4 linked regions of the Caenorhabditis elegans genome follow. The protein of the gene in region 2 interacts with the protein of the main gene of each other region in a pairwise test. Each region holds a gene or a part of one and is shown on either strand. Other genes may lie near its edges. The genes, in order: bcl-11, nck-1, F43B10.1 and smim-14.

Region 1 (9,556 bases), on a different chromosome or scaffold from region 2:
TGTGAATGTATTGTTTGCAATTTATTTGAAGACAAAAATTGGAAAGAATAATTGGGTAGAATTAAAGGGAGAAAAGAGGGAAGAAAATAGCTTCACAAGTTTTAAAGTACACCAGCTAACCGAAGAAAGAAAAATTGAATGAAATATGGTTCCTTTATGAAAATCTCTTCGAAAAGGAAGATAGTTAACACAAAGATGGTCCATCTAGACAAAAAAGCAGGATCAGCGACTAAAATGAAAAACAACTAGAATATTAAGAGGTTGGTAGAGAATGAGAAAGCAATAAAATAAGGGAATAAATGAAGGTATGGACGTATTTATATATATATGTATGTATAATAAATGGTACAAGGGGGCTATCAGTCGGACTAAAAATACTACTTCCATGGGAGAACTAGGTCACGGGACAAATTGGGGGAAAGGGACAGGGTCTGTACAACAAAATCACCGGGGGTATCTGCGAAAGAGTAATGGTTGCCTGGGCGACGCCAGAAAAGATTAAATGAATAATTATCGAATATAGCAGTGAATGGTAGCAGAAAGACGATTGAATTGGAGTTTAGGGGTTCAGAAGATGGAGATGCCGATTGATGGATTATTAGAAAAAAAGAAGAAAGAGAGGAACAATTCACTGCAATTGAAAGTTGAAGGAGAGCGAGATTAAAGCTGGATGTTAATCAGTTGGATTGAGGAAGGCTTGGCTAGATAATCAGTGACTGACTGGAAAACTGGGAGGAAGGGATCACAATCTATTGGGGGGAGCTGAAAGTGTGTGTAGGTTCTAAAAGAAACTAAAGGAATTTTGAGTTTGGATTGTTGGATGAAAGTTTACATCAATCTAGAGACTCACTAAGGATGAAAGAAAAAGACGTGTAAAGGCTATTTTGCATGTTGTTTGTTGAAAGTCCTATGGGGGTTACAAAAAAGGCTTTAGAAACCAATGAATACACTAAACCAAGTGATTAAATCTTAAGTAAACAAGGGATAGGGATATAGTGAGTGCGTTTTGGCACCGGGAAAAAACGGACAACTAAACAAGGCGAGAAAAGGGAACTGGGTCACTGGGTGAAATATGGAAAGAAAATACACACACACGGGACGACAACACAAGCACAACACTGAACATTTGAGGCGAAAAAGAACGAAATGCTAGATGGAAACGAGCGACTAGAAGACGAGTTGTAGGGTATTTTGAAAGATTGAAAGGTAGGTGGATTGAGAGAGAAATATTAAATGACTGGCTAGAAATGACTGATGATACTGGATGATTAGTTAGCAACCGTAGCAATTTGATTTGATTCACTCTGAAATTATTGTATTAGTTTGAGGTTTAAATTACTCCTACGAGACGTACTGTTAACGGTTGGTGTGACTGCAAATCGCTGGCTTCTGTCTCTTCCATATCCTCATCAGCCTCAATCATATCTTCTTTCGATGTTGCTGTAGGCGTACTGTTGCTTGCATTGAGAGCATGAAGCCAGTTCAGGACAATTTGATGGCTTTGGCTCTGATTCTGGCCCACTGTGCTAGCTTGAGGTTGTGGAGGGACTGAAATTGATGGTGCTGAAAGAGCCAAAAGCGACGTTGCCTCGGCAAGTGCTGAAGGTGTTGGACGAATTGATCGCTCTGAAAATGTATTGTTGAATTCTTTGAAAATAATTCAGGAACTATTGTACCTGGTGGAGAACCTCCTTCACGACGACCTTGAGTACTAACTACACACTTTCTCATATGCTTTTCCAATGTAGAATGAACTGAGAAAGGCATTCGGCAGATGTAGCAGTGATATGTCTCTTTCCCCTGTTGCCCATGCGTTCTCATGTGACGAGTCAGTTTACTGCTTTGTGCACATGCATATGGACAAAGTTGACACTTGTAAGGCTTCTCTCCAGTATGCGATCGGAGATGGACGATCAGGTTTGATCGATTCGTGAACACCTTATTGCAAAAATTGCATCTCTCCTTCTTGATGTTATTTGGCTTGCGAGCAGCTGGCTCAGCAAGCTCACCATCATCGACAACGATCAGTTGATCTTCTTCTTCAATTTTCATACTTTTTCGTGGAGGTGTCAACTCTTCTTCCGGTGAAGCACGTCGTCTGATTGCAACTGATGCAGGTCGTGGAGTGTATGAGGACTCATCAGCGGTACTTCTAAATCGGGTAAATGTTATTTTTAGTTCATCAATTATGATTCAAACTTACAATCTGTTCAAACTCTGAAACAAAGGTGTCGGTGCGGGTGGTTGTGGAGTTGCGACCTGAGGTTGAGCGGCGATCAGATTTTGTTGCTGTTGTTGCAGCTGTTGTTGTTGTTGCTGTTGTTGTTGAAGGTTGTTTGAAATATTCAACAAAGCAACCGCAGTACTATTTGTCATTGGATATGGCATCTGTTGAATTGATGCATAATATTCCTGCATAGCAGCTAGCATTGATGGCTGCATCCAGACATTTGGCATAGATCCAGAAGTTTGGAAGCCTGCCGAGCTGGAGACTGTTGGGAGTTGCGGTTGAGAAGCTCTAGAATTGAGAAGAGACGTTGAGGTAAACGCTGAGACTTGTTCTTCCTCGGTTTCCTCACTTGGCATCAACCTTCTAAGCGCCATCAGTGGTTTCTGATCTTGTTCTCCAGCTCTTGTGACAATCTCTTTCAGCCGTTCTGAGCAAAAACTATTCATCATTGTTGATTCAGACTTTATGGTTTGATGCATGATTTTGGATGAGGTGTCATTATGGTTGTATCTTGAAGACATGTGCATTGACTCATTTGATGTTGGAGAAGATGTTGAAGTAACCGAAACATCCGACTCTGGGATTGCTTCTTGGCATACTCGCAGGCCATGGATGTCGTAGCTGTGTTTCAAAAGTGTCCAAACATCTCCAAATCGTTCTTTACAATTGCAACATGTGAGTGACTTCGAAGAGCTCCCTGTAATTAGTATATATCTTTGCAAAACTTAGCAATGGCAGTTGGATAAACTTAGATTACTCATTGTGTGGCTATTTCGGAAATACGCGGTCAGTCTGTGGACTCCACTTATTGCCATTACTTCTTCTCTAGAGTTGTTTACACTAAAACTTAATTTCTCGGAAAGTAGTTATATACTGTTCACTTTTTTCTGCATTGTTGAATGGTCTTTTTCGGTCACACGGGCGCCGATATGACGTGGTGGCAACATCAACATGTAGCACAAGTAACCTGACCCCTGAGCGCCGAGCCAACGACCGGTCTTTGACGACCTTCTTCTATTCATTGATGCTCTATTCAAACACATTCTCTCCCCCTTCGGCTCCCAGTTTCACGTACGAGAAAAAGAAAGGCGCCGAGTTTCAAGAGTCTATCTCGCAGTGAGTTGGTGCGTTGCGTTGCGCAGCGCCCTGTCTCAACCCACAAAATTCTTCTCAAATTGCTGGTCAAAACTGGTCCACTCGTTGGTACATAGGCAAACTTCGTCTCTCTGATCTCAGTTATCTATGCAAACGTGGTAACTCTGTGTCTCTTCACGCACACACAGTCTTGTGGATCACCCTACAACAACTCACCGCCAAGAAAAAGTCGGTGCCCTGCGGTAAACAACGGGGGATGGATGGCAAAATGTGAAAAAAATTTCAAGTACCGTAACCCTCTGGACAAACAAAAACTGAAAGTAGAGTTGGAAGTTACCTACTCAAAGCGCCTACTACAAAAGGGCTCCGACTTAAAGTCCGGGAAGTGCATGTACTAGAAGGACGTTCAAACATTTGCGGGCTCTTTGCACAATGATCAGTTGACCAACTCACCTAAGTCATTTGTGTCCGTAGTTACGTCCATGTTGTAGTTGGGAAGAAGAGCATTTGCTGATGTTGAACGACCACATCTGATCTGAAAATATTCCGAATTTCTATGCATTCCCTCTTCAAAAAAATATTGTTGATGGCATTGGCGCTGAGTTTTCTGCAGTTCACCTGTGGGTCTCTCTATTTGCACAGGTACTACTATCTTCTATGGAGAATTTCAGAGCCACTCTCTCTCTGCCCCGTCCGACAGTTTTTCAATGTCCAGAACAAACAAAAAAGACGTGGAATAGAGGGGACTAACTCTCTTGGTCATGGGGTTGCGGGCGCCAGAGGTCTGTGGGGCTAAGGCTCTTTAGGTAAATATTGGTCAAAATAGTTTTCCATCAACTCACCAGCGCCGCCGGGTTGAAGGTTCTTCGTCTTGATCGGTCGAAGTTGCGTGGTGTCACTTCACAATCATCCGATGGGGTCAGCTTTCCGCCGCAGTTTGACACCTGAATTGAAACAATATAAATGACATCACTAGATATTGAAAGTCTTTGAAGCTTTCTTCATTTTAAAAGATGATGCCATTGTGATTTTGATTCACAGTGACATTAGGTCTCACAAAGTAAAAAGACTTACTTTGTGTTCGATGAAATTTGAAAAGCAGCTCAGTGAGAAACTTGTATGACATTCTCCACATACTACAATATCCGTCCGGTCAAGTTCTGGTCTGGGCGAATCTGCTCCGTCATGGGACATCGGAGAATCCGATGCTTTCAATTCACTCAAGTCATGCTCAACTGTTGATTCGACACCAGAAACCCCCGAATCCGATGAGGCCATCTGAGAGTTACCTGAAAGAAAATGAAATGTTTGTGCTCACGAAAAATTACTCAAATATTGCAAAGCTTTCTCCAACTCTTCAAGACTAGATTTTTGCGATGTGATGATCATGATGGTCTACAACTGTTGGCAAAGTTGGATGGAGGCAAAAAAAAACTAGGTCGTGTCATATGTCAACTTTGTCTACATAACTCTTTGCCATTCCCTTTCTTGACAGTTTTTTTCTGTTATAGTATGTGTTTTTTTGTGTGTGTGTGGAAATGAACATTCACCGTGTTGCCAATGGCGCACTTTGTGGTTTTTTGTGAGAATATTTGCATTGTCGTCGATCTGATCAAATGTTTGCGGTCGCTTTCCGCGCGGAAGACACATTTTGGCGCAAGCGCCGCGTGTGACGTAACACGTGTGATCAAACGTCCAGTCATTGATATGATGATCAAATCAACTAGGTGCGGCATGGGAAGGAACGATTGTGCATTGCGAAAATATTGGGAAACGCGAAAATTCAATAGAAGAAGGGAAAACTTACTGGTTAAAAATGTGGTGAGACGTTTCTTCAAATCAAGACGATAGTCTGAAAAATATACAAATTACGGAAGGCATGAGAAAATGGACACAAACCACTTTTATCGTCACTACTGCTTGTGGCTGTCGGCTCCTCAGCTCCGCTATCAACTTCACTGTTCGCCTTCCTCCGCCGACGCCCCGCCGAAGACGTTTCTATTGTCTGAAAGTACAAGAGATCGTAAATTGGAATCTGATAGTAATTTTGCTTTACCGGTAGATGTAGCATAATTTTTGTCAGATAATATTTTCAGATTTAGGCCACACTGTTTTCAAATTGAGAATATCAAATGTTTCAAGGGTCACTTGGATTTCAAAATTATTGAATGTAAGGTGGGTCGCAGAAGTTTGCGTGGAAAATGAGCTCTCGTCGCAGGTGAGAGAGAGCATATGACTTGGCAGAGGGGCGTAGCGCCGGGGCGCGAGGTTACAGTGTATGTGTACAGTACTCGGGGGCATCAGAGACACAATATAACTAGAGCAAATACTCTTTTGCCAGGAGAAGGCCGATTGGTCGAGACTTGGAAAGAACGACTGGGGAGACACGTTTTTTTGTTGGTTGAACATTTAGAATTTGGCCGTTCATTCACTTTGACCTGCCTTTTGTCAGAGATGAGGAGTCGGCACAAAAAAGTAACGAAAAGTTAGTGAGTCATTTCAAAATTTAAGATTAAGAAATACAAGTCTTCAATACAGATTTAAATAATTTTCAAAAAGTAAGCTAGAGTAAAACTGGGCTGTAAATAATTTTTAAACTCACTTTGATAATTCTGGAACTGAGCAAAAGCTCATTAGTGTAAAGCATGTTTCGAAATATTTCAGAAATTTTGAAAAAATGATAACTGACAATGGACCAAGTTGTGTGTCCAAAAACGGACGCCCCTTTGTCATTGTGTCCTTCCAGACTGTCACGCTGATAACAAAAGTTTATCGGCCCCGCCCCTCAAAACCTAGGAACAAAAGAATAGGTTTTTGCAAAAAGGACGAAAGGCTGGAAGTTGAGTTTGTCACGCGGCTCTCGAACTGATAAGGATTTACTGCTCTTAGAGATTTGAACCTCAATGCCGACACAGAAACTTGAATCCCAAAATTACCTGTGATTTTGAACGTCCACTACTCATGTGAAGTCGCTCTTTCACTTTCAACCGGGAAATTTTGTGTAAAAGCGCTGCCCACTAAATATGGTTTGGTATCCAATAACTGAAGTTAGATGATCCTGAAATCACTTTGGTTATAGACTTTTCATTACTTTGGCTCAAACTTACTTTATTGTCAAGACACATAAAACATCAATTTTTAAATTTTCGAAACACGCAGGAATATGTGCTGCCGCGCGTAACGTAGAGCTGGAGGTTAGGGTACACTGTAATGAAGAAAATTAATAAAATAAGATACTAAACAAAAGTCGGAGAAGAGAAAAAAAGAGAAAAGAGAACGGCCGAACAACGAGAAGAAGCACAAAAAGAAACATTGACAGCAACTGTCGGCGTTGTTATCAAAGGGTATTGATTGCGTAATGCCTAGTGCTCCAGGCATCAAAAAATCAGAAAGAAAGACAACGTAGTAAAAAATGGTCACTACTGATAAGGTATATGGCGTCCGGCGCCAGAGACAATGGAAAATTTCCCAAAATTTCAGAGCACATGATGCTAAAAATAGAACCGCCGATGCTAAAAGCGGTATCATATGTTTCTTTTTTTAGGTGTTGATCTGGAAACCGATGGACATGCGAAAGACAATAGAAATAACTGTTGATAAGAGGCAAAAAACGAAGTGTGGAATTACGAAAGGCGAAAAAACTGAAACTTGGGGTCGAAAGTTTGGGATGCAAATTGTAAATTGGAAAGGCAAGGGAGCAACATCGGAAAAGAAGAAGTTGAAGAACTAGAAAAATTAATTTAAAAAAATACAAATTTCAGCTAAAGTTTCGAAAAAAAGAGAACAGAAGATAAACTGAAGAGTTGGAGTGAAAGAAGAGAAGCTGCCGGCCACCCACCGCGTCCTTTTTTGCCGGACAATATGAGGCGGTGTGGGAGCGTAAGCCCTAGGGTGTCTGTGGCAAAAAAGTGCAAGTACTCATGTCTCGTTGAAACATGCTGGCGCCGCGGTACACAGTGGGCAGACGATCCGCGCGCGCGGAAGGATCCGCCCATTTCCGTGTGACGTCGAGCTAAGAGCATACATTGCAATAAAAAAATGCGTGATGCCAGAGGAATCATCGGCGGGGTTTCATTCTGTCCCCTCTTGGCAGCACACACGGAAAGTGACGCGAAAAGCTGCGCAAACAGTTCTCTCCGTTTCCGCGCCCACCTTGATCTGGAAGTGTAGAAATGTGTGCGCTTCCAGAAGACACAGAGAGAAGGAAAGTGATCGGAGACGACGGAAGGGCCTCACGCACACACGCACACACACACACATACACAAGCCACACAGTCACTTTTTATTATTTCGCTTTTATATTCAAAAAGCGGAGCAGAGAGAAGACTAGAGAACGTGAGTTGCAGACTGCGAGACGCGAAGAACGGTTTCATGGCGCTGGGCGCCGCTGAAAACGGGGAAGAAAGATGCACATGTGAGGGGGAGAAAGAAGACAGTAACAATGTATACAAGAGTTCTGGAACTGCTGAGAAATAGTGTGCCACGTCACATGTGACCAACAAAAGAACTGTCAAAGAAGACGTGAGAGGAGATACTCTTACCTAGGAAAATGGGCGCAGAAAACAAAGTAGATCGAGAGACAGTGAAACATGTGGGGGGATTCTCTCATTCTGTCTAAAAAGTTTTTGGGCGAGGGACACATACACACAATTCACTCACAAATACACCTGAGATTCCATTCAAAATTCAGGTCGTCGTGGTCTCTCTCTCTGTCCCTCTCTATCTATTCTCGAGAGATAGAAGACCGGAGACGGCCATCACAATACGGTCATTTTTGGTCATCTTGACCGTAACTGGTATTTTACACAGGTCGAGGTTTCTATGTGATTGTATGTTATTTCTTCTCGATGGTCATGGAACGGGAACGGAAATATTATTTCTTTAGGTTTTCTGTTTGAGGACCCTTTCCAAAGTTATGAACCCACTGGCGAGGCTGGCTTAGGCGGTTCGTGCACCTGCTACAGTTCAAAGCATAATTTTGCAAGATTCCGAGTTCAGTGTAACATGAGGATCAAAAACCCAAAAAAATGGCCAGACACAGTGGGAGAGCCCTGCGCCCTGCTCGTACACGTGGACGCCACTCTAATCTTTCGCGCCCTCACTTTTCCGCGCGGAAGAGCACAATATTTGTATGCACACAAGTTGCGCAATAGATGCCAGGCAGCGACTGGTCATTGGCTTTTGACGTACAGGGGGCAGGTTACGCGAAGAAACATCAACGAAAGGGAGGACGGGATAAGGGATGAGATTGAATAAGTGAAGACGTTAAGCGAAAGCAGTGAAAGCGTCATCTTGCGCAATGCATCACCTAGCGAAAGCAAAGCTTCTCCCCGTCTCTCTGATCCACACACTCTCTCAAGCTGCCCAGATCAGGTCCGGTGGAAGAGGGATGCCAGAAGTGGCGCGGCGGTCTCTCTATCATGTACTATTGACGAACCGGTGGATTACAGTATACCCACCACCAAAAAAGAGATGTTTGTGATATAGTGGTGGTGGAGGTGGCAGGTTGTGTCAACGGTGAAAAATAGTTGTAAAATTAAGCAATGAGGAGGATAGAAGATGGTGGAAAAGTATTGGCTAGAATATATGGAAACAATCAGAAAAGATGAATGTAACTTTTAAAAAAGTCTAGGAATATTCACATACAGAAGTTCACTTTAAAATGACGTAAACAGAAAGTATTTTAAGAAAGTTTTCTCAAATGAGAGAGGCAAAAATAAATTAGAACAAAACAAAAATTGAAATTAACATTTCAACACCTAAATTGTAATAGAGTTTGAGTAGAACGAATACGATAGGATATAAAGATATAATGCACCCAGACTAACAGAACGTCCAAGTGAAAATAGGAATAGGAGGAGAAAACATGCACCGCCAGGACACCTCACGAAGCTTGTGCAGAATACAGGATGCAACTGGCAGAGGCACCGACCGATCAGGAAGGCGTTTGCCTCACGTCACCAGGAAAACCTCAACATCCATCTCATCCGATGGGCAGAGAAAGTGAAGTGAGGATTGGCGGAAAGTGAATGGGACACACAGGAAAAAAATGAAAGCGAAGGGAAGAGGAGGGAGGAGGATGATGGGTGGGACGGCGACGATACATATCGCGACAGTAACAAACGAAGGATTACGCAAGCGACGACGATGGCAGTGAGGCAAAAGTGGATGGCCATAGGAGCGAAATCTAGAACTAGATGGTGATGAGGCACACCACACATGCAGCAGGAG
Region 2 (8,785 bases):
CACAACAGCAGAATAATTTTGCTCAAACCCTTTCTCAATCGTCAAGCACTGCTTCTGCTCCAGCACCAACAAGTGCGCCAGTCACAACTCCAGCTCCAGGATCAAGGGTTAGTAGTTTTGAAATTACAAAAAAATTTATGGCAACTTGGAAACTAAAAACTGGAAGCGTGTTTATGTTTCTAATATTCAAATTTCTAATATTTCAGGGAGCTGCCTTGTTCGGAGGAGTCTTCCACCGTGGATTCTTCTCGAAGCCAGTCGAGCGCACCGAAGAGGAAAACTACCGTTACTTGATGGCTCTTGATCGTTAGAAGATTCACCTATTGGATCTTTACTCTCTGCCACTTGCATCACACAAAAATCATTTTCTTCCATGTTAACCTTCCTTGTCTTATTGCCCCCCCCCCCCCCCCCCCCGCCTACTATTTTCAAAATTTCCTTCCCTTAACTTTAACTCGACCCTACCCAGATCTCCTGAGAGGGCAAAAAGAATGAGACATTACTAATGATCACTGTTCCCAATCGTCCATCCTGCATACCTAACCAGACCATCTTACCATGTGTCTCAGGTCACACCGTTGCCGTTTTGCGTTCCCCATATTGCTACTGACTTACGAGTGTGAAGAGACCCATTGGTAAAAGAGGAAATCTCTGTTTTTTTTTCTTTTTTTCTTTGTTTTGAAATATTCGTTACCCACTGTTTTAGGACGAATCCCATTTTTTTCGATTTTCCTCTTTGTGATGCTATCCACTTTAGGATAACCCGAATTATTATTACTTCGCACGGGTCTGGGGGTAGCACCAGGTATTCTTCACCTGTCATATGTATAATCCAACCGCACACCAATCACCTCATCTGCTCTTTTTATGTCTCCTTCATGTTTTGATTCTCCAATTTGAAACCAAAATAATACATATTTTATTCCCCGAACACATGCAAACTTGTCAGACATGTTCAATGTAGAAAGTGTCAGAAAATGATCAACAGCCTTTAATGACGGAGAAAACGTTGATACAAACACACGCGTAGTTACTTTTTGCCTTATGTTATAAAAAAGAAAATCTCAATTTGAGAATATTCTAAAAAAAATGTTCAGTTAGAGATAATACCAATACTTGAATTTTGAGTTAAAACTGTCGAATTGCCATATTTGCCGAACATCTAAAAAACGCTACCAACTATAAATATAAAACATTATAAAATTAATAATATAAACAATAAAACTACCACCTATTAATTTTCAATTTTTTTTGCCGATTAACAAATTAGCTTGTTTGCAAATTTACAAGTTTGCTACCACAAAATAATTTGAGATGAATTGCCAGTTTACAATTAAAACCACAATCAAATAAAAGTTATTAACCTTGTTTTCAAAAATTTAAACCGCTAGAAAAATGTTGGTAAATTTGTTTAAAAGTTTTATTTCAAAATGTGTTAATTAAAATTTTGGCAAATTTAAGAAATGTAAAGCATTTCCACAGTTTCAGACCGCTACAAAGTAAAAAATTGTTAAAAGCTTTTTTGGTCAATTTTTTAAATTATAATTGGCAAAAAAACTCCAATTTTGAATTTATGATAAATTTAAAATTTTAACAACAAAAATGTGAAGAATTTCGGATACTCTAAAAAATATTTATAAAAACCTTCAATAATGTCATGTTTCATTTCACATCCGGAAATCGCGTTGTACAAAAATTGAAACCTGAAAAATTGTAACAATTAAAAAAATCTGAAATATGCCCACTTGAAAATTCATTTACAGTTATCACATATGGCAATTGGAATTGAAAATAATATTCTGAAACAACGCAGCGTTGTGAAGTGGAGCAAAAGACAATTGAAGAAGAGATGAATGGAAAGTGTGAGTTAAGGACAATTATTTGATAAAATTACAAACTTGAATGAAAAGAAAAAGAACCAAAGAAAAAATGAGAAATATATCTGAAACCGTGATCAACCGTTCAATTTATCAAAAACGGCGGATGGCAAATCAGTAAACATATCTAAACACAGGGCTAGTGATAGAAATGACGAAAGAGATTTTCACTTGCTTTGTCCAGAAAAAAAATGGATTGCTGCAAAGAAGACAAGAAAACAACAATTGTTAAGAATGAGCTTATAAGAATATTGCATTGAAATTTTGAACAAGTAGTTTACTTGGGAAGAGGACCGGTCAAAAACAGCTTCTCCGTTGGCGACGAGAAAATTGGGCTGGTTGTGTAGTGATTGATAAGAGCATTCATGTCCACAAACGTTCGGTTTCCAATTTTCAGGAGACCATCCACGTTTTGCACTTTGAAATGCTTGTTGCGTTCGATTCCGCGCATTGAGATCGACAAGTCTCCAGGCTGAAAAAAATTGAATTTAATATTAAATGGTTGAAAATATCCATTTTTGGTATTGTCTTCCTAGCAATATTCAAATGGGATACTGTCAATGAAGATTGATTTTAATTTAGATTGTATTCTGATCAGAATGAAAGCGTATTAACTGTAATATATAGTTTGGAGTGAAAATGTTCAAATCAAACGCTAGAACGTTTTTTTTTCCTTTGCGGTCCTTGATTTTGGTAATTAATTTCGTAGTATCTCGGTCATTTGCTGCCATTTTTAAACTAATTGTAGCCTCTTGCCAGCCTTCATTCTTTTGGATTTTTTTTGCACTAAGTTTAAAATAAAACTAAATTTAACAACTTCTTAAACAACTTGAATCTCCTTATTCGTCGATTTTAGTTTTAAAACCAATATTAGCAACTTTGTGACTATACTTCACCAACTTTGGCAACTGTTTGAACAACTTTAGTATCCCACAACTTCTCAACCAACTTTTGCAACTTCTGAAATTGGCATTTCTAAAGTTGCTAGGAATGGTTGAAAGCTTGCGACTATTTGGAAAGACACCGTTTGAAAAATTCCAAAAAATGCTCACATTGCTCTCCGAATCTCTGACCAGAAACTCTCCCTCACGACCATGTAGTAGAAGATCTTCAGCACGTTCCCTCGAGATGCGTCCAAAATACCACGGCTGTTGCTCCATCGGAATTTCTCCGTTTCCTGAATATTGCGGTGCGAAATCTTGATGTGAAGCTTTGCTGGATGATGAGTCGTTGACCACCTGAAATGTTCTAATTGTTTCAGATTCGGGCAATTTTTCTCGGAATTTTTAGGCGATTAAATGCACTACCTCAATGTAATTTCTTGGCACAAGCCCTGTGGTTCCACTGGCGTTGCGCGCCATCCACCAATCGGGGTCATGTTCTGGATGATCCACGATTTCGAGCCGTTCTCCTTTTTTGAACGATAGTTCTTCAGATGATGATGCGTCGAACGAGTACAATGCAACGACGACCTGAATCTATGAAAATGATTATTAAATTGCATTGGGGTAAATCCTACTTCAAATGAAGACCGTGACGCCTGGAGCTTCGGCGGTGGTGCTTGCATCATTATGGGCGCTGGAACTGCTGCAGCTGCTGGGTTTCGGTTCTCAATGCTTCCCTGATTTCCGTTTGTCGAAGCTTCAACTTCCTCCACATAGTTTGACGGGAACCATCCGACTCCTCCATTCGGTGCTTCTCCCTTCCACCACCCATCTGTGCTTTTCTCGACGACATAAACGAAATCTCCTTTTGTGAGACCGAGCTCATCTTCAAGTCTTGGCTCGTAAGTGAATTTCACCACAGCTTTCGTTTTCGAGCTCATCATAGGAATCTGAAGAAAAAAACGTTGGCGGATTAAAATAAGTTATGATTGAAAAGCCTGTCAAACCTTATTGGATGATGGTGTCACCGCACAGTTGTTATTCAAGCTGAACGCTAGACGCGCGATGCCGTTTAATCGCTCCTCCTGAAAAATCAATTTCAACAACAAAAAAAGTACTAAAATTAGAGATTTTCGCTTAAATTGAGCTTTTTTTCAAAATTTTGAAGCGCCATAGAAATTTTAAAACCATTTTTCTCATTACGAAATTTGTTCATCTGGAGTCTAAAAAATTTCAATTTTCCAAAATTTCCAAAAAAATAAAATTTTCACTTTAAATAAATTGACTTTATAAAAAATGTAGAGTTCTAACACAAAAGAAATAGTGTATCGTTATGTGAAATCTCTTTTTTTTTTGGCTTACATTAGAAAATATACTATCCTAATCAAAAAGCCTCAAAATTCAAAAATAAAATTTTCACTTCAAATAAATTTATTTAAAAAAAATGTAGGGCTCTAACACAAGTATTAAGTTCGGCAAGTTAGAGGGACGACGCAGATGTTTATTGCAAGGAGGTCTTATGGCACGAGAAAAATCGATAAGGAAGTGCTCTTCCCGCCTAGAAAGCTCACAGTTTAATTAGAAACGTGATCTTAAACGGCGAAAAAAAAAACAAATTTGATGAAGCCGGAAATTCCAAGTTTTTTTTTGGAGGCGCTACGTGGCCAGTAGCAGCAGCACAGACTCAACCCGCTACCTTCAGTCAGAAATGCAAACAAAGTGAGCGGTTGAGCTCGTAGGCAATGTGCATGCAGCGCCCCACACATCGAAACACGATTTTGGTTAGGGGGTGAAGAGCGGGAGGGGCCCTCAGGCGATTGAAACGTATCGTCAAGACGGAAAAACATAGGAAGCGTTGAAATTTCGCGCGCTCTTGTATACCGAGACTGTCTCATTTGCGCCGAATACATTGTCGCGGGAGAGCCGTATGTATGTGTGTGTGTGTGATAACAGGGCAATGATAGTATGCGCCGCTTGCACACACATGCAAATATTAACGGTTTCGGTCATTTATTACGGAGTTTTTGCCTCACAAAGTTCAGCATATTTCGATTCGAAAATATGATTCGAAAAATTGAGCGTGCCGTTTTGATATTGAGAAGAAGAAAAGCAAAAAAAGTATTTTATGTGGAGGAAGGAAAACGCAAAAAACAGACGAACCTGTCAAAACGGCGAGGAGAACGGGAGAACGCGCGGCGAGGTCTTTTTGGACGGTCTCGAGCAATCAATAATCCTGGGAAAACAGGGGAAGAAGAGTTTGTTAGTTCAGACGATGCGCAGTATCTTACGCGCAAAACACTCAATTAGTTATTGTGGTGATGACAAAATCATTTTTTACTAGAATTTGGGCTATTATATCAATTTTTAATGGAAGCTACAATATTTAAAATAATTAACTTTAAATTTGTAAATGCTATTAGTTAGTTTCATAAAAATTGCAATAAAAAAACCGACAACGAGAAATATTCCTGCCCCAATATGACAAATCATTCTAGAAACTTTTATGGCATTACAAACGGAGCAAAAAATCGATTTTGTTTGCTGTATGATAAGGAAACAAAACTGGAATGTTCTGGGAAGAAAGTTAGTATATCAAAACTAGTTTTAATGTACCTTAAAATTAAAAGAAATAAAGTATCTGTTGGCAATTCTAATTAGAAGTTAATTCAAACTGTTGCTTTCGGCTGGAAGCGCTTGTGTAAATACAAATCTTCCACGTGAAGACTGGTTTTGGCATTTGGAAACAAAAAAAAACTGAGAGTGCGACATTACAGTCGATTATGTTTCGTTTAGTTGTGGCGGCAGTTTGGCGCTTTTTTTGGAAGTGAGATGGGTTTTTGTAACAAAAAAAAACAAAACGAAACACTCACCGGCTCCGGATCTGAGGATCGGTTGCGACCTCGCGCTAAGCCCTTGATTGTTCCTTTTGCTTTGTCCACAATTGATTCTTTTCGCACGTAGTTTGAAGGCACAAATCCAACACTGTTTGAATCGTTCATTACCTGAAGAAAACGGTTTTGATCCGAGGGAAAACAACGTTAAGTGGCTCAATTTATTTTTAAAAAAATTAAGGTTTGTAGAACACTTTTTGATTAGTAGTTTTGCTAATTGGTACCAGGATTTTTTTTTGAGATGTGGAGCAATGTCAGTGCAAGCTTTGTTTAAATGTTGCTAAAATGACCAACAATCATAATGAAACTCTTCAGAATTGTTTTTTGAAATATTTTAATGTGCAGTCAATGTGCAAAATATGGTCGACCAAAACGTTGACTGAAAATTTTGAAAAAATTATAAATTTTTCTGGATGTTTAATGAAAAGAGAAAATTGTAAATTTATATATGATGCTAAAATAACCAAATATTATAGAAAACTGTTCAAAAAATTTTGGAACATTTTTATTTCGAGTCAAAAAGTGGTGAGAACTTACTAATATGTAGATTTCCCCAAAAAGTCGTTGATTAAAATAAATTTCTCTTATTTTAATGTTCTAATTATGCTTAAAACATTAAAATTTCAATATAGCAGGGAATTGAACATGCGACAGTGTTTTAGAGTTCTCGAAAAGTGGATCAAACTGTTTTCACATTTAACCATTAGTTTCAGTATGTTTTCCGTCAATAAAAACTCACTTTCCACCAGTTTTTGCTATCATCTAACAGCTTTAACCGTTCGTTCTTTTTTATCGTCAACTCCTGTTCCTCTTGTGCTAAATAATCGTATTTGACGACCACATAGTCCTCCGACATTTCAAATGTCCGATGTAATACACCCTGTAAAGTGGTTTGGTGAGAAAAATTGCGAATCCATAGCAAAAAACCGAGGAGAACAAGTGGGAAAATGAAATGAATAGGGGATGGATACGCAACTCGTAATTGACGTCGTCTATTCTACCTCCTCACTACACCTACACCTGATAAAATCAACATTAGTGAGCGGAAAAAAGAAAAAGAAGGCGCACTGACGACGTACGCCACATTTTTCTAGGATATATCGGTCAATGTCAATCTGTTCAGAAGTCAGTTAGGCTGTTGGATGTTGGTAGGTCAAAGCGTGTCATGAACGGGTTCCGGAAAGTTTTTTTATTGATTCGAAAGTTATGAAAAATATTAAACTTATAGTTAGTATCAAAAATCTTTTTTTTTTCAGATTAGCACACAGCCGTATCAAGTATGACAAAAAAAGAAGAATGAAAAAGGTGAGATGTGAATAATAAGTAGCATAACGCGGGCAGCATTGCCTATTCAATAATACTATTTTATGGAGTTAGCAAACACATGAATATAGTCATAAAAAGTTGGCGAGGTAAGCAGGATTTTGTTAGAAGGCGTCAAGCGAGAAAATAACTGCAGTAGTTGGGCAGATGTACTTATGAGTCAGGATGCCTTTGAATTTTTCAGCAAGACGGGTGCACTTTCGAATGGCTCAATGGGAAAATGGAAATAATTCAGATGCCTGGCTTTGGCATATAATTACTTCCAGCCAAAGTACCAATAGGAAACCCCACATTTCCTCTGAAAGTGCAAAATCAGGTTTCAGGCAAATTTTATTTGCGCCTGTAAGCATTTCCAAATGGGGAAAATCACGCAAATGGGGAAAGTTTTAGTTAGGATTGTAAGGCCTTTATTGAAAATATATTGATACTTCTGGATTTAATGTTACCCCCAAAAGTGCTAAAGTTAAGTTGTTATATATTTTTCAGACCTCTTTTTCCTACAAATCTAGAATAACTTTTTTCAAGCTCTGGAAATATGATGAAAGTTTTAATTTGAAATTAATTTTTTTAGGGTCTCCTACAAACTTATATACTTATATACCGTTTTTAATTTAAATTTTGATTTTTTGATACTTGGTTGAATTATATTATAAAAGAAAATGCCTTATAATATACCTGCTTGTCGAAAAAGAATACCCATCGTAGTTCAATATGGCCTAGAATTTTTAGAATTTTTAAAATTTCAGTCAACACATTAAACTGCCACACTTAGAAAAAGAACAACAGGAGCGTTTGAATACATTTCTTACTGACGAGACTCCAAATTGTATTAAATTCCACAATTAAGTAATTTTAGAAATACAGATTTTCATATTAAAATTTTAATTTTTTGGAATTTTCCTTTTCAAACCAGAAACGTAATTGACTATGCTCCATTTTGCAAAAGAAGAAAAGAAGAAAAAAAGAAACAAAAAGCAGAGGAAAAACAACCGACAATTGTAGGCAACAATTGTTGGAAGAGCCCCATCGTTTTCTTCGTAGCACACACACACACACACACACACACACACACACACATTTTCGGACAGGACAAGAGTCAATGACAAATGATGGGAATTTTCGGTTTTGAATGGGGGCCAACAGGGGCCGAAATAATGCATTGGAATGCGGAGAAAAGAGAGAAAAGATTGAAGACGGATTGCCAAAATAATGTGCGGAAAATTTGCGAATCTGGCTCAAATCTCAGACTGGAACGACGAGATGGTTTGTGGGGGGATAGATGAAGGATTTACTTGGGAATTGAAAATAACAACAAGATGATCCTTTAAGGGACACTTAGCAATCTGGTCATCGGAGAATAAATATCTAGGGGGGCCCCCCGTCACCAACCAGCGCGGGTATTAGCAGCAGCTGAAGACGAAGAAAAGTAGAAGAAGTGGACGGAGGGACACAACAACAATAACAACGTTCAACCATTACCAATTATTCTGTCTTTTCTCTCACTTTCCCTTACTCACTCTATTCACTATTCTGTTCACATGGAAACACAGAGTCTTTTCAATTTACCAGTGAGTATGAATCATGGATGAATAAGATATCAGAAGAATGGGTGTTTGTAATACAAATAGGTGCATGTTGTTAAAAATGAAGTAGGCGCCTGTAGGAAAATTGTTAGAAGCCACTTTTGTGGTTCAAATGATTAAATATCATATAGTAATTTCGCTAAATTTTGACATATTACTTAAAAGGCGCATGCTGTGAATTTAGTGGTAGGTCTCGTTACGATCCACAAGTGCCAAATTTTACAGAT
Region 3 (6,655 bases), about 13 Mb from region 2:
CGAGAAACATTTCGGTTCTCTGAACATGAAATAAAATCATTCCGAAAATTTTCAAGTCAAAACTGAAATTTGAAACTTTATTTTAAATATGGGAGCAATGTGAAAATCTGCTTAATTTGGTAGTGTTAGCTAACAAAAGTCTTAAATTTGAAAAATCTTCAAGACATTTCAAAAAGTTTGCCTATAAAAAAAATCTGAAAGAAAAACTAATTTTGTGTCTTAAAATTAGTAAAATAATTTTCTGGAAAATTTTCAGATCGACATTTTTTTTCAGTTTAATAAACATCAATTTTTGAGATACTTTTTTTGCAGGGCCTATTTAACAAGTTTTTTTCTGACGATCTCAAAAAACTATGGAAAAACAGACTGGAAATCAGAAATTCAAAACATTTAAGGGGAAGCCTCATATTCATAAATTCTTAAATGCCCACAAAAACAGGAAAATCGGATTCAATCATTATAATAAACATTTTGACATATTCTTCAGGATTACATAGGATTAAGGACTAATACAAAAAGAAATGCATGTTGGGTGATCTCATTTCACCACGCTATCCGTTCAAAGTACTTTTTTGCTCGGCAGCACGTGCATTCAAGGAGAACATTTGATATTTTAGCCGTTGGTAATAAGTGTGTGTATTCGAAAATATTCGGGAAGCCAAATAAATAATTCTGAATTATTTGGGGGCTTAGCCTGGAAAAACAAATCGATCAGAAAGTCAAATTAGATTAACAACATCATAATTTTAACAGGATTAAATACATATTTGCTGAAAAATTAGGAGAATGTGATAAGGTCAAACTAAATAATTTATTGAGATGTTTCGAAAATTTTTATTACAAATTGGAATTAATAACGAAGATGTTGAAAGCACTTTTTATACTTTTGAAATACTCAAAATGACTTTTAAAGAATTTTGTTGCTTTTTAAAAAATGATATGGCGATTTGAAACTTAGAAACAGTTGAAATTTGAGATTACTAAGAAAAAATTGATATATTAAAAATTTATGTACGTAAATCAACAGCTGAGTTGAGAATTATTTTTCCAAAAACTTTTTTTCCAAAACAGAATCAAAGGTGAGCAATTTTCCTTTACAGACCGGACTTGAATTTTTTTTAAACATTTCAAGTATTATCATTATGCAAATTTGGTTTTTGAGATCATTTTGCGTACTTTGTAGTAATAAAAAAACATTGAAGGTGAATTGAATAACATTTTCTCGAGATAGGAAAATCAATCAAAAATCGTACTTTTCAACTACTCTATTTCGAATTTTATTAAAATTCTGGAATTCCATGACAAACAAGGCAAAGTTGAAACAATAAAATTCAGCGAAAATTGACACTTGTGTTTACACTGAATTCTTGAGAATGGACGTCATAGAAATGTGTATTCGTTTCCGAAAATGTCCAAAAACAAAGCAGAAAATTGTTGTGAAATTATTTAACAAATAATTTGAAAGTTACAATTTTAATGAAAAAAAAATTTCATTGAAATGATCACCTAAACTAAACAGAGATAAGGGAAAAACTACATTTGGAGTTATAAAAACATGTTATTTTATACTTTGGAAAGGTGCAATTCTCAGGATTGACGTAAGTATTTTTTGGTGTCTGAGAAAAAAAAACCAACTAATAGAAACAGCAATCAAAAATCGTCTCAAAATAGAGCACACGTTCTAAAAACTGTCATTTCTCTCGAAAACAAGATCCAGAATACTTTTTCATCTCCGAACACAAGCCCCGATAGTTTTTCGCGGTTGTTTGCACTATTCCCACATGATTGAAAGTACACTAACAAGATTTTGCCAAGCAAAACCCCACAGTCTCATAAGAAATTGAAGATCAGGATTTAAAAAAAGAACTAAAAAATACTCACGTTTGATTTGAAGTCGAAAATCGAATGGGTCGCAATGTCGTGTTGTTTAATTGGCTGCTGCTGATACTGTGGACGGTAGTGATTATGTTGCTCTTTCCCAAGGTAGGACTGGTGGTTTTGATGATTTTGCAGTGGTTGATGATTCTGATTCTGAACCGAATGCACTTGAATATGACGGATTGGCGGTGTCGGCGACGAGTGCTGATATGTGCTGCCCATGTCCACGTGAATGACTGGTTTGGCACGAAACACCGCGCTCCGTGGACTCATATTGCCATTGGTTTGCGGTACAGCTTTAGCGGTCGCCGCAACTGGTACATGCTCGTTGTATTTGACGGTTGTGGTCGAGAGTTGCACAACGGGAGTGCCTGGTCGTTTTTCGAATTCTGTGATCCGAGAGGCAACACTTCCGGTCGAGGGCACCGGGAAGTTCGGTCCGTTTCGATACATGGTTCGCGAAATTTGATAGCCAGGAGTATGAATTCCAGCTAAATGAAGTTGTTCTTTCACATTATGCTTCGGTTTTGGATGCGGAAGTCCTGTTGGAATCTGATACACTGAAGAGCTCTCGCTGACCTCATCTGTTGGGGATGGAGAGTGCAGCTTCCGGTGAAGTGACAAAGCAGGAGACTTAGACACCTCAATTGGTGGGGGACTAAAAGCGTGTTCACCTGTTGGAAATCTACCGCAACCTCCAACTCGTCGGTTTAGAGAATCATTGTGAACAACAGGTGCAGGTGACACGGATCCAAATGTTGTTCCGCCAAATGTATTTCCACGAACAGTTCTTGAGAGTTCATTTACAGCATTATCCAGTTCATTGAAACTTGGAATTAGGAAAGAATTTGACGGAAAAGCTGGATTCAATGGAGTTCTCGGCTTCTCGGTGTATTCGACGGATGGTTCTCTCATCAGCTCAGCTTTTCTTGCAGCAACTCCTTGACCACTGCCAACTCTCTGAGTAAACCTTTTTTCAGTGTCGATTGGTTCTTGTAACATTTGAAGTCGTTCTGCTGCTGTTAAACTTGTTGGAATTCTCTGAATTGTTGGCGAAGAAGGTCTCGAGCTGATGGTTTGACTCCAGAAATTATCCAATGCTCCGGATTTTCTTTGTTCTGGAGCTTCAGCTGCTCTTCGTTCAACCGCTCTTCCAAGAAGCGAACTATTCATTTCATAGTTACTTGAAGACTTTGAAATTGGCAGCTGTGCTCCACGTCGTGGCAAAGTCATTGACCCAGTGGTCGTAAAAGCGGATGGACTCAACAAGTCATCGCTTTCCAAATTTTGAAACCGATTCTGCAACTGTTCAAACGATTTGCTCCATTCTGATGTGCTTCGACTCATGTTGTCATCAAGGAGACGTTGAGCAATAATATCCAACTGATCCGTGTCGTGAAACACGGGTTGACGAAAACCTCCGGACGACGCACTTGAGGCGAGTGCGGGTACTCCGTTGTTGTAAAATTGATGAGATGAAGAGGAAGATGGCGGCGGCGGCGGCGGTGGATGACGATGAAACTCAGATCGATTTTCGAACGGGTGCGCCTGTTGCTGCTGCTGTTGCAATGACGACTCTCGTGGAAGTGGCAGAGGAGGACCACCAAGCGAACTTGAGTGCTGATATTGATGCGGGGTAGAGTTGTGGTATTCGCGATGAAAAGTAGAAGTTACCGGACCGTTCGAGGTGAAGGTTGTTTGCACTCTTTGTTGAGACGGATATCCGTTTCCGTTTGGAACCACGTTTTGATAAACCGAAGTTGTCGATCGAACACCGTTTGGGACTTCTTGGCGAATTGAATACTCAATTAGTGGAAAGTTAGATTCGGACGATTGATAGGTATACGATCGTGTCGGTGGAGCCCGATCCGTGTGAATTCTGTCGATATAGGCTTGCACGGCTGGTGAGTTTTGCACAGAGTGCTGTGCAGACGGGTAACGAGAGAGTAAGTCGAGAAGTGCAGAGCCACTGGCTGGCGATCTTTCGCGAAGGTGTTCCGAGAAGGAAGAGGGTACTGACAGGTTATGTGACGAGTGGTACTCTGAATGTGACGACCAGGGCGTGGTTGAAGCTGGTCTTCGTTGTTGGGACGGAAAGTTCACTTCAGCAGTACGAAGTGGTCCTTGATTCCACGGCTCTGGAATGTGATCCTCCGAGATTGTTCTCGGCTGATGTTGAAACGCTGATCTTCGATTATCGGCCGACTGCGACCGGAAACGAGTAGTTTGGGGGTCGTTTTCAGCACCAAACGTGGTTGTAGTGGCCAAACCACTGCCTCCGTACCGTAACGATTCCGATGGAAACTGCACTGACGAGGACGACGGCTGGTTGAATCTTGCGAAGTAGTCGTCGTCAAGATGGTACATTTACCCTTTGCTCTCGCAAGTACTGAAAGATGTCCGAAATTGGAAGAGAGATTAAAAGAATGGCGGGGGAAGAACAAAGAAACGAGATATTTTGCAGGACAACTGTTGAGTAGGTGGCAGCAAGTTGGAGCAAAAATGCACAAAAACATGGAAAAACGCAACAAATCAAACAAACTTGAGAGGCAGAGTGAGAGGTAACAAAGGAAAAAAGATAGGATCATAATCAAATTTAATAGAGGAAGGAGGATTGATTCATAATGAGAGGAAAAATACTACTTAAAAAATTTTTTATTTGCATTGCATTTTTTATTTATAAAATGAACTTGAACCCACTGGTAACTTAAAATAGAATTATATAATAGATCAGTATCTAGCAGGTAGCAATTAGTGGGAAAACATAGATTGAAATGAAAGTGCGAAAAAGAAGAAGAATAGGAGTGGCCTGAACCAGCAGAAACTGCAGATTGAAGTGATTAGTAATAGTAACAACTTTTCCTTTAGGAGGAGCGACATATTTTGTAAGAAGATTTGGAAAAGAAGATGTGATGAAAGAATGAACGATAGATGGTGATGATGATGAGAATTCTGAACATTAATTCTACGAAAAAGGTTGAAAGAGCTCTTAGAGCGGAGTTTTTAAGCTAAAAAACCAAAACCACTATTCAAAAATCTAGATCCTAAAAAACTAGAAAAGCGGATACGAAAAAAAGTGGGAGGATAAAAGATGAAACGATGATCAAGCGAAAAAAGACAGGTAGTAGTGAGCGAGTGCAACCAGAACGTCGGCGGTAAAAAAGAAAAAGAGACGAAGCAGCAAGAAGAGAAAATGAAAAAGCAGAAAAAGAAGAAGAAGAAGAAGCTGAATGGTCTAGAAGCCAATAAATTGCGAGCCCCTCGAGAAGACTTTCGAGGCGAAAGCGGCGACGAGCCGATAGAACACTGGTATTGTTACAGCGGGTAGACGGGGCTCCCGGCGAGAGCGAGGGAGAGAAAGAGATGGAGTATATATTTTCTCGAGGAGAGACGGAATACGTTTTTGCTTTCATTTCAGAGGTCCGTCCTTCTACACTTCGACGACCCCCGACAGCTGTCGCTAGATCGCCTGCTCTTTTTCTCTCACTCTCTCGATGTATCATTATCGGGCACTCGTCAAGTGCAATCCGTGGTCACCTAATCATCATTCCTTTTACGTTTCACTATTTTTATATTGAACGGGAGAAATATTAAAAGCGAAGTTTAGGAATGGAAGATGACGGCGGCTGAAAAATGACTGAAAAAAGGAATTGATCCTATGGAGTTCCAAAGCAAGTTTCATTTTGTTCAGTAAAAAACTTTCTGGAGGACATAGTTTATGAGACTGAGTTATCCTGGAAACAATGCAACAATCTAAAGAATAAAAGCAATCATAATCAAGAGCGAATATATTTACAAAATTTGGTACTTGTGCATTAAAACCCCGCATTTTTAAAATTAATTAAACTTCCATTTATCTTCCGATTCTGATAAAACGTGATGTTCATTTTCCCTGTTTAGGCTTAGAAATGATTAAATGTTTATAAGCCGAAAAATACAAAAACTCGACACGTTTTTATTTAAAAATTCATTTTTAATATGAGGGATTAGAATACAAGTACCTAAAATCTTATTTCAAATTTTTGCAAATTTTTGTCATTTTTTTTCAAAATTTCAGTGGAATTCTTCTTAAAAACAAATCTAGCTGAAAAAAAATTTGAAAAAATTCGATATCATTTTGTTAGGAGTTCATAGGATACATTTTCCAAATATCTAAATATTTATTAGAGAAGCAAGTATGATTTTTTGGCAGCACTCAACGATTTTTCTGTTTGGAGTTGAAATTATTGTTGAAAGATTCTCGATTTTCCAGGGTTTCTAGGATTTCAAGCAAAATCTTTCAAATAAATCTTTTTTCCAAAAAACTGACAGTCAGATTTGAATAAAATCTATCGAAGTTTGTTTCTGAAATCTAAAATCTAAATTTCATAATTTTTTTTCATTTTTTCTCCAGAAATCAACAAATTAAAAATCTTGTTCATTTTAATTTTCAGGAAAAAAATATCAAAAATGCTGCTCCGGATAGAAATTATCTTAAATGGTATCAAAAAGAAAAATTCAAAAAATTTCAATTTACTTTTTTAAAATCAAATTAAAAACGACCATTTTATAATATCCCGGCAAGTAAAGTTGAAAATTTTCAAAAAGAATTTGATACTAAGAACTAGGACTTGTTATAAATCTTTGAGAAAAAAGAATGCCACCAAAAAAAAAGAAAACAAATAATGAAAACAAGTCTAAAAGTTATGTGATTGCTACTATGATTATGATTATGTGATAGAGTAGGACAAAAGCAGGGAGAAACAGAGAAAGACGGCTCATGCTCTATATAAAGTTT
Region 4 (6,241 bases), on a different chromosome or scaffold from region 2:
CTGAAAAACTTAAAAACTTGGAAACTGAAATTTTTTTAATCGCACAAGCTGGAAATTTTCTTGAAAACTGAAAAATACCTCAAATAAACTGAAAAAAGAGAAGAAAAAACTATTTTTCAACTGAAAAAAACTGAAATTGCTAAAAAAATTATTAAAAAACTAAAAGAAACTGATTTTAAAAAAACTGTAAAAAAAAGGATTAAAGGAAACGATAAAAATTTAAAAACAGAAAAAAGAAAATAAAACACTTTTAACTGAAAAAACTGAAATTGCTTTAAAAGTTATTACAAAAAGAAATTTCAAATAAATGGATAAATTGCAGCTCCAAACTACTGCTATCGATGCGGAAACGCGGCGGCCGTATTCGAAATCGACGGAAACAATCGCTCGACGAAATATTTCAACGCAGTTCCCGATGGAAGCCGTGAGAAGCCGGATCGTGTCGTTGCTCCGTATTTCCTCTAAATATTACCTCACACCTGCCTGCCTATTTCTATTTCCGCCACAGCTACATAATTTAATTATTCTTTAAAATTTATGGTGGAATAGTGTAAATCGCTTTTTAAAAAACCCAAAAAAAAACCTGCCAAAATAATTGAAATTCCAAAAAAATCCCACAAAAAACAATAAAATTCAAGCTAATTTCCCGTAAAATTTGACATTTTCCCCTGATTGGTCAAAAAAGGGCGGAGCAAATCGCTGATTGGTCCTGCAATCAGAGGCTTGTTAATTCTTTTTTTCGACCAATTAGCGATTAGCTTCGCCCATTTTTCGACCAATGACCGGGGAAATTTGTCAAAAGTTGAGCAAAAAACATGAATTTTTCATTATTTCTGAATTTTTTCCGGGTTTTTATCGTTTTTTTGTCAATTTTCATCATTTTTTGCTATTTCAAAGCAAATTCACGCTATTCCATCTTGAATTTTAATGTTTTTTGTCTGGAGTGGACCCCCTATAAAAGCCTCGGTTCCTCGTGTACTTGATCTTCATTTTCCCCCATTTTGTGTGTATTCTCTCTCTGATTTTTCACTTTATTCTCATGTTTTTCCTTCTTTCAGCTCCTGTTCACTTTTTTCCGTCGTGTTCCCCCTTTCTCTTTCTCTCATTCCTTAATTTAATTTTAATGTGTGAACAATTATCTCTCTCGAATAATCTCGAATCTTCATTCATATTCCCAGAGAGACGGAAATGTACAAGAAATTGGTAGGGACTAGTAGTAGGCGATTTTCACAGAAAATTTGACAAAAAAAAAGAGAGACGAAAATTGTGATACCCAAAGCACAGGGGAGAGAAAATTAAAAGCATATGAATGAATAGAAGAGGAGGACCCAGAGGATTCCAGTTGCAAAAATAAAACTGGATTTTTTCAATTTATACACAGGAATGGTTGGTGGCAGAGGAGAGTGTTACAGAAGACGGACGGTAGAGGATTTCAGATTTACATTGCAGATGGCGGTGGAGGTGGTGGCGTGTTGTCCTGGAAATTGGAATTTTAAAATTTTATAGGACGCGTACTCCCCGAGGAGAAGTTTAGAACATTTTAAAATTTGAAATAGTTTAATTTTATATTTAAAAATCTGAAAATCGATAAATTTTGTTTTTTTTTTTTCGATTTTTTCAACAAAAAAAAACTATCGTATGAACCAAAATTGAAAGTTTTCTAGTTTTTTTTTGTTGATATTGCGTAAACACAAAGTTCTGACGCTCAAAATATCTCGTAGCGAAAACTACAGTAATCCTTTTAACGACTACTGTAGTTTTCGCTATGAGATATTTTGCGCGTGAAATATGGTGTGCAATACGTATTCTCTGAATTTTGCGTTCACGTAATACTAAAAAAATAAACAAAAATTCCAGGGAATATTTTTAAATTGTTTTTTTTTCAATTTAGCAATAAAGTCCAAAATAAGGAACTGGGTATTCCATATCCCCTAAAAAATTTTTAATTTTTTTTTTCAAAAATTCAAGTTAGACTGTAGGACAAACACCTATAAAACCCGGTGATGATTTCTTTTTTCGCGTCTCTGATAACTGATTGACCGGTCAATGTATTGCCGGGCGGGCACAAAAAAAAAAGATTAGAGACGCAGAAACGCGCTCCACTGCCAATTGAAAACGCTCCGCCCCCAAACAGTTGGGTCTCGTTAGGAATTTGGCGGAAAAACTGGGAATTTCGCTGATTTTTATGCCGAAATTATTGTTTTTTTTTCGATTTGGGATAGAGAATACATTAAAAACAACGAAAACTGCTTGAAAATTTGAAAATCCGGTTTTCCCGCCAAATTCCTAACGAGACCCAACTGTTGGGGAGCGGAGCTTTTACGTTTAGCCGTGGAGCGTGTTTTCACATCGATTTCACAGGTGATTTTTTCTGCGTCTCTCTAATACAATAAAATTAAGATACTTGTGCAAAAAGTACCGTAGTACTTTAAAGGCGCACACCCGAAATTTTAATTTTTCGTGGCGAGACCCAAAATTGGCCGTGGAGCGGGTTTTCTGCGCTCTTGTGATAAATCCGAACTTGACAATACTAACATCAGAACTTCCAGTTGGTTTTTCAATTGCTGCATCATCGGCGGTTCTTCTATCAGATCTCATTGAATTGGGTCTCATCACGTAAAGTGCCATTGCCATAAATGTCCATAAAAGTGTCCACATCATCATTGTATTGCCACCTTCACGACTCAAACCATCATTGTCGCAACCCGTATCTGTGCAGTCCGCTTGCGAGTTTCGGAGCTGCAAAATTTTGATTTTTTTCAAAAACATTTTTTTTTTTTGGAGTTTTATGACGATTTGCAATGGGTATTCAGATACGATATGTTGTGATTTTGTGCGTCGGGGTCTCGACACGACAATTTTTTATTTTTTTGTTAACTGCGAAAAAGGCGTGCGCCTTTAAAGGGTACTGTAGTTTCAAAGTTTAGTTGCTGCGGAATTTTCATAGATTTTTAGTAGTTTTTCGACAAAAATATAATAATTTTTTGAACCAGAAGAAAGCGATAAAAACAGAAAAACGTTTGAAACTACAGTACTCTTTAAATGCGCACACCTTTTAGCATTTCATATCAAATTTATCGAGTCGAGAGCCGAAAATTTGTTTTTTTTAAATTGTATTGGCAAATTTCGCGCTAAACCCCGAATATTTCCATAATTATTTCCCTTACCATAGCCAAAAGTCTTTGCATAGCAGATTCATGATCGAAGAAACATTCACACGGATCACTCATTCTCTGAAATTGCGAGTTTCCGTCGTTGAACTTCACAGAATCGAGAAATGAAACGAACAGAGAACGTGGACGGGAAAATATAATAAAAAATAAAAAAAAGTGGGCAATGCAACGTTGCCTTACAAAAATATTGCTCAATGGGGAGAGATTGCGAGAGAAAACAGACAAAAAATCAGCTGGGAGACGACGGGTTGTGATGGGAAACCATGCACATTTTTCATGAATTTAATGACTTGAAGAAGTGAAAAAATAATGCTTTCAGAGCAAAAAATGGTGAAATTAGAATTTCGGCCAGTTTTTTGTTGTTTCCGGATTTTAGCCTAAATTGTGTTTTTTCTCTAAAAAATTACCAAAAAATGTTGCTGAAGAGTTGAAAAATTTTTGAGCATTATTACCCAATTTTGCGATTACGGTACCGGTACCAGGGTCTCGACACGACACATTTCTCTCAAATACATGTGACTTTAAATGTGTGCCTTTAAAGAGTACTGTAATTTTGAACTTTTGTTGTAGTTACGGAATTTTCATAGATTTTTTTGTAGTTTTTGTCACGAATTGTTAAAAATTTATTCGATTTCATTAAATAAATATATTTTTATTTAAAAAAAAAATTAAAATTGTTGAAAATTCTCTTTAAAGGCGTACACCTTTTTTGCAATTAATAAGAAAATTGTCGTGTCGAGCCCCGGGGCGCAAAAATCGCAAAATTTCACGTCTGGGTATTATAAAAATATAAAACCATTTTTTAGGCCGATAAATAATAATTAATCACCAAGTGTATCCTCCACACAGACTACAAAATAAGAAAAAGAGAACCTTTTGATCGGAAGCGGACACACATTCCGTATCTGTCGGGAGGGATAAACCGGTCTTTGATCTACTTTTTCTCGGGGATGTAATTCATTATAATTGACGACAACTGACAAGACTAATTAATTTACGAGCGTGTCGAAAATCGATAATTTTGATTATTTTTGGACATTAAAGCCTTTTTTCAGTCTAAAAATCGGTTTTTTGGCCAATTTTTAGAAAAAAAAAATTTCATTTTAAAAACTGACGTTGGCTGTTGGTTGGCAGGGAGGAAGAGACATCTTTTTTTGTTTATTTGGAATACTGTGAGAGAGAAAAGAGGGCTTAGAGATATTGATGACGTTTCATAAACGGATTTATGGGCACTGAACGGAAGGAAATTAATTTTTTTTTTTGCTTTTTTAAACTAAAAAGTGAAAAAAGAGAGAAAATGAAGCAAAAAAAAAAGACGACGAGACAATCGAAATGTTTACCTTTTTCTCTCTTTCTACTGAATTTTTTCTTATCGCTTTTTGCCATCTTAAGACAAAATGATTAAAAATAATTAAAAATCAATAAATGCTGCCTTCAGTAACCTTAAAGGCGCGCCTCAAGAACTTAAAATTAGTAGTAGTTCGTTGCGAGACCCATCACTTAGATTTTACTTGTGCCCCTTTAGAGGTGTACCAAAAGACGAACATTTTGAAGAAAAAATTTGTTTTTTTAGATTAAAAATAAGAAAAAAGGAAAAAAAAATTTGTGTAAATCTAATATCTAAAATTTTTTGATGCCGAAGATTAAAATTTAGAAATTTAAAATCTTTAAAAAATAGGAAAATCTAGAAAAAACACACAAAACCCAAACCTTTCAAAAAATAGAATTGATCGCAATATGGGCCCGAAAAAAATCAATCAATAAAAATGTAACCTTCTCCTCAAGGAGGATCCTCCTTCCGCCCATCGCTCAATGAACTTTTCACTGCTTCTCATCGTTCTCTTGGCAAACTGAAATGTCTCCAGCACCCTGCGTCTCTCCAACAGTGTAATACTCTCTCGCTGTACACACTTTCCTTTTCCCCCCATCTCACCCCACACACGTCCATTCCGCCTACGATTCGCTGTCATTTCTTCTTTTTCTTTCGTCTTTCGTCCCCTCTCTCAACAAATATATGTCTCTGTGTCTTTACAGGTTCATGTACTATCTCGTTGGAATCCCCTTGAATGGTATTCCAGCTGTGTTTCCTTTTTTTCCCATTTTTTTGCTAGTTCTTCCGCAATTATATTTAATAGAGGATTAGAAAGTGAGAAAGTGAAAAAGATCTTTGGAATTGCTATTTCTTCAAATTTTTGTGTCGATGCACCATGTCAAAGTATGAAAATAGTCATATTTAACACTGATTTTATCGTTTATCAACTCGCGAAGCACCATTTCCTATCCACAAAAAAAGGATGTAAAAAATTAAAATTTCAGGTAAAAATGCCAAAGGACAAGAAGAAAGACGAAGTGACAGAGGTTGAGCATGTCGATCGGAATATTTCGTCGTTTTCTCAAATTTCACATCTCAGTAAGCATTTTTTTGAGCTCTGCGCCACATTTGACGCGCAAATCTTCAATTATTCCATGGTTTCGTATGCATTAGAAATTGATCTGGCGGAGCAGCAGCTGTTGCTCTGTGCTCAGCTCCTCCGCGGGAAAATCGTAAATAGAATTTGCGCGTCAAATACGGTGCATTGGGTCTGTAGATCAAAATAAATGTGTTGCTTCTTAGGCTGAGGCTTAGGTTCAGGCTTGGGCTTAAGCTTAGGCTCAATCTTAGGCTTAGTCCTAGGCTTAGGCTCAGGCTGAGGGTTAAACTTAGGTTTAGGCGTAGGCGCAGGCGCAGGCGCTGGCTCAGGATTTGGCTTAGGCTTAGGCTCAATCTTAGGCTTATGTTAGGCTTAGGCTTACGCTTAGGCTTAGGCTTACGCTTAGGCTCAGACTTAAGCCTAAGCGGGATAAATTTTCGAAATCTTCCAAAAATTGAATTCCAGTCGATGCGGAAATCATCACTCGTCTCACTTTGAGCCACAACAAGCTCACTTCAGTACCACCAAATATTGCGGATTTGGTCAGTCTTCAGGTAAGCCAACCCTACATCAAGGTAATCTTCTTAATCCAATCTTTAAAAAATTGCAGTCCCTGAATTTGTGGAATAACCAAATCGAGGATCTACCTCCATCGAT

What was found.
Region 1: the proteins of nck-1 (region 2) and bcl-11 interact in a two-hybrid assay, tested with the Caenorhabditis elegans proteins (one large-scale study listed by BioGRID).
Region 3: the proteins of nck-1 (region 2) and F43B10.1 interact in a two-hybrid assay, tested with the Caenorhabditis elegans proteins (one large-scale study listed by BioGRID).
Region 4: the proteins of nck-1 (region 2) and smim-14 interact in a two-hybrid assay, tested with the Caenorhabditis elegans proteins (one large-scale study listed by BioGRID).

What each region holds. Positions count from the first base shown.
Region 1 is NC_003283.11:6,353,449-6,363,004, reverse strand, and holds bcl-11 (C2H2-type domain-containing protein), read right to left. Parts: upstream 6,981-9,556; 5' UTR 6,971-6,980; intron 6,533-6,970; 5' UTR 6,433-6,532; intron 6,384-6,432; 5' UTR 6,289-6,383; coding exon 6,262-6,288; intron 5,548-6,261; exon of another isoform or gene 5,397-5,547; coding exon of another isoform or gene 5,382-5,396; intron 5,331-5,381; coding exon 5,225-5,330; intron 5,178-5,224; coding exon 5,133-5,177; intron 5,043-5,132; exon of another isoform or gene 4,901-5,042; intron 4,615-4,900; coding exon 4,400-4,614; intron 4,270-4,399; coding exon 4,168-4,269; intron 3,861-4,167; coding exon 3,779-3,860; intron 3,720-3,778; exon of another isoform or gene 3,575-3,719; intron 3,515-3,574; exon of another isoform or gene 3,155-3,514; intron 2,928-3,154; coding exon 2,204-2,927; intron 2,153-2,203; coding exon 1,677-2,152; intron 1,627-1,676; coding exon 1,355-1,626; intron 1,305-1,354; coding exon 1,269-1,304; 3' UTR 8-1,268; downstream 1-7.
Region 2 is NC_003284.9:4,146,912-4,155,696, forward strand, and holds nck-1 (NCK (Non-Catalytic region of tyrosine Kinase) adaptor protein family), read right to left. Parts: upstream 6,533-8,785; 5' UTR 6,509-6,532; coding exon 6,392-6,508; intron 5,764-6,391; coding exon 5,632-5,763; intron 3,847-5,631; coding exon 3,769-3,846; intron 3,712-3,768; coding exon 3,397-3,711; intron 3,356-3,396; coding exon 3,185-3,355; intron 3,116-3,184; coding exon 2,930-3,115; intron 2,350-2,929; coding exon 2,155-2,349; 3' UTR 1,742-2,154; downstream 1-1,741. Other genes in the region: ZK470.2 (Growth-regulating factor), read left to right, coding at 1-107, 207-311.
Region 3 is NC_003284.9:16,650,239-16,656,893, forward strand, and holds the start of F43B10.1 (EF-hand domain-containing protein), read right to left. Parts: upstream 4,274-6,655; 5' UTR 4,246-4,273; coding exon 1,882-4,245; intron 1-1,881.
Region 4 is NC_003281.10:3,466,514-3,472,754, forward strand, and holds smim-14 (Small integral membrane protein 14), read right to left. Parts: upstream 3,234-6,241; 5' UTR 3,231-3,233; coding exon 3,168-3,230; intron 2,740-3,167; coding exon 2,536-2,739; intron 1,478-2,535; coding exon 1,439-1,477; 3' UTR 1,148-1,438; downstream 1-1,147. Other genes in the region: pph-6 (Serine/threonine-protein phosphatase 6 catalytic subunit), read left to right, coding at 323-465; rsu-1 (Ras suppressor protein 1), read left to right, coding at 5,496-5,583, 6,050-6,138, 6,195-6,241.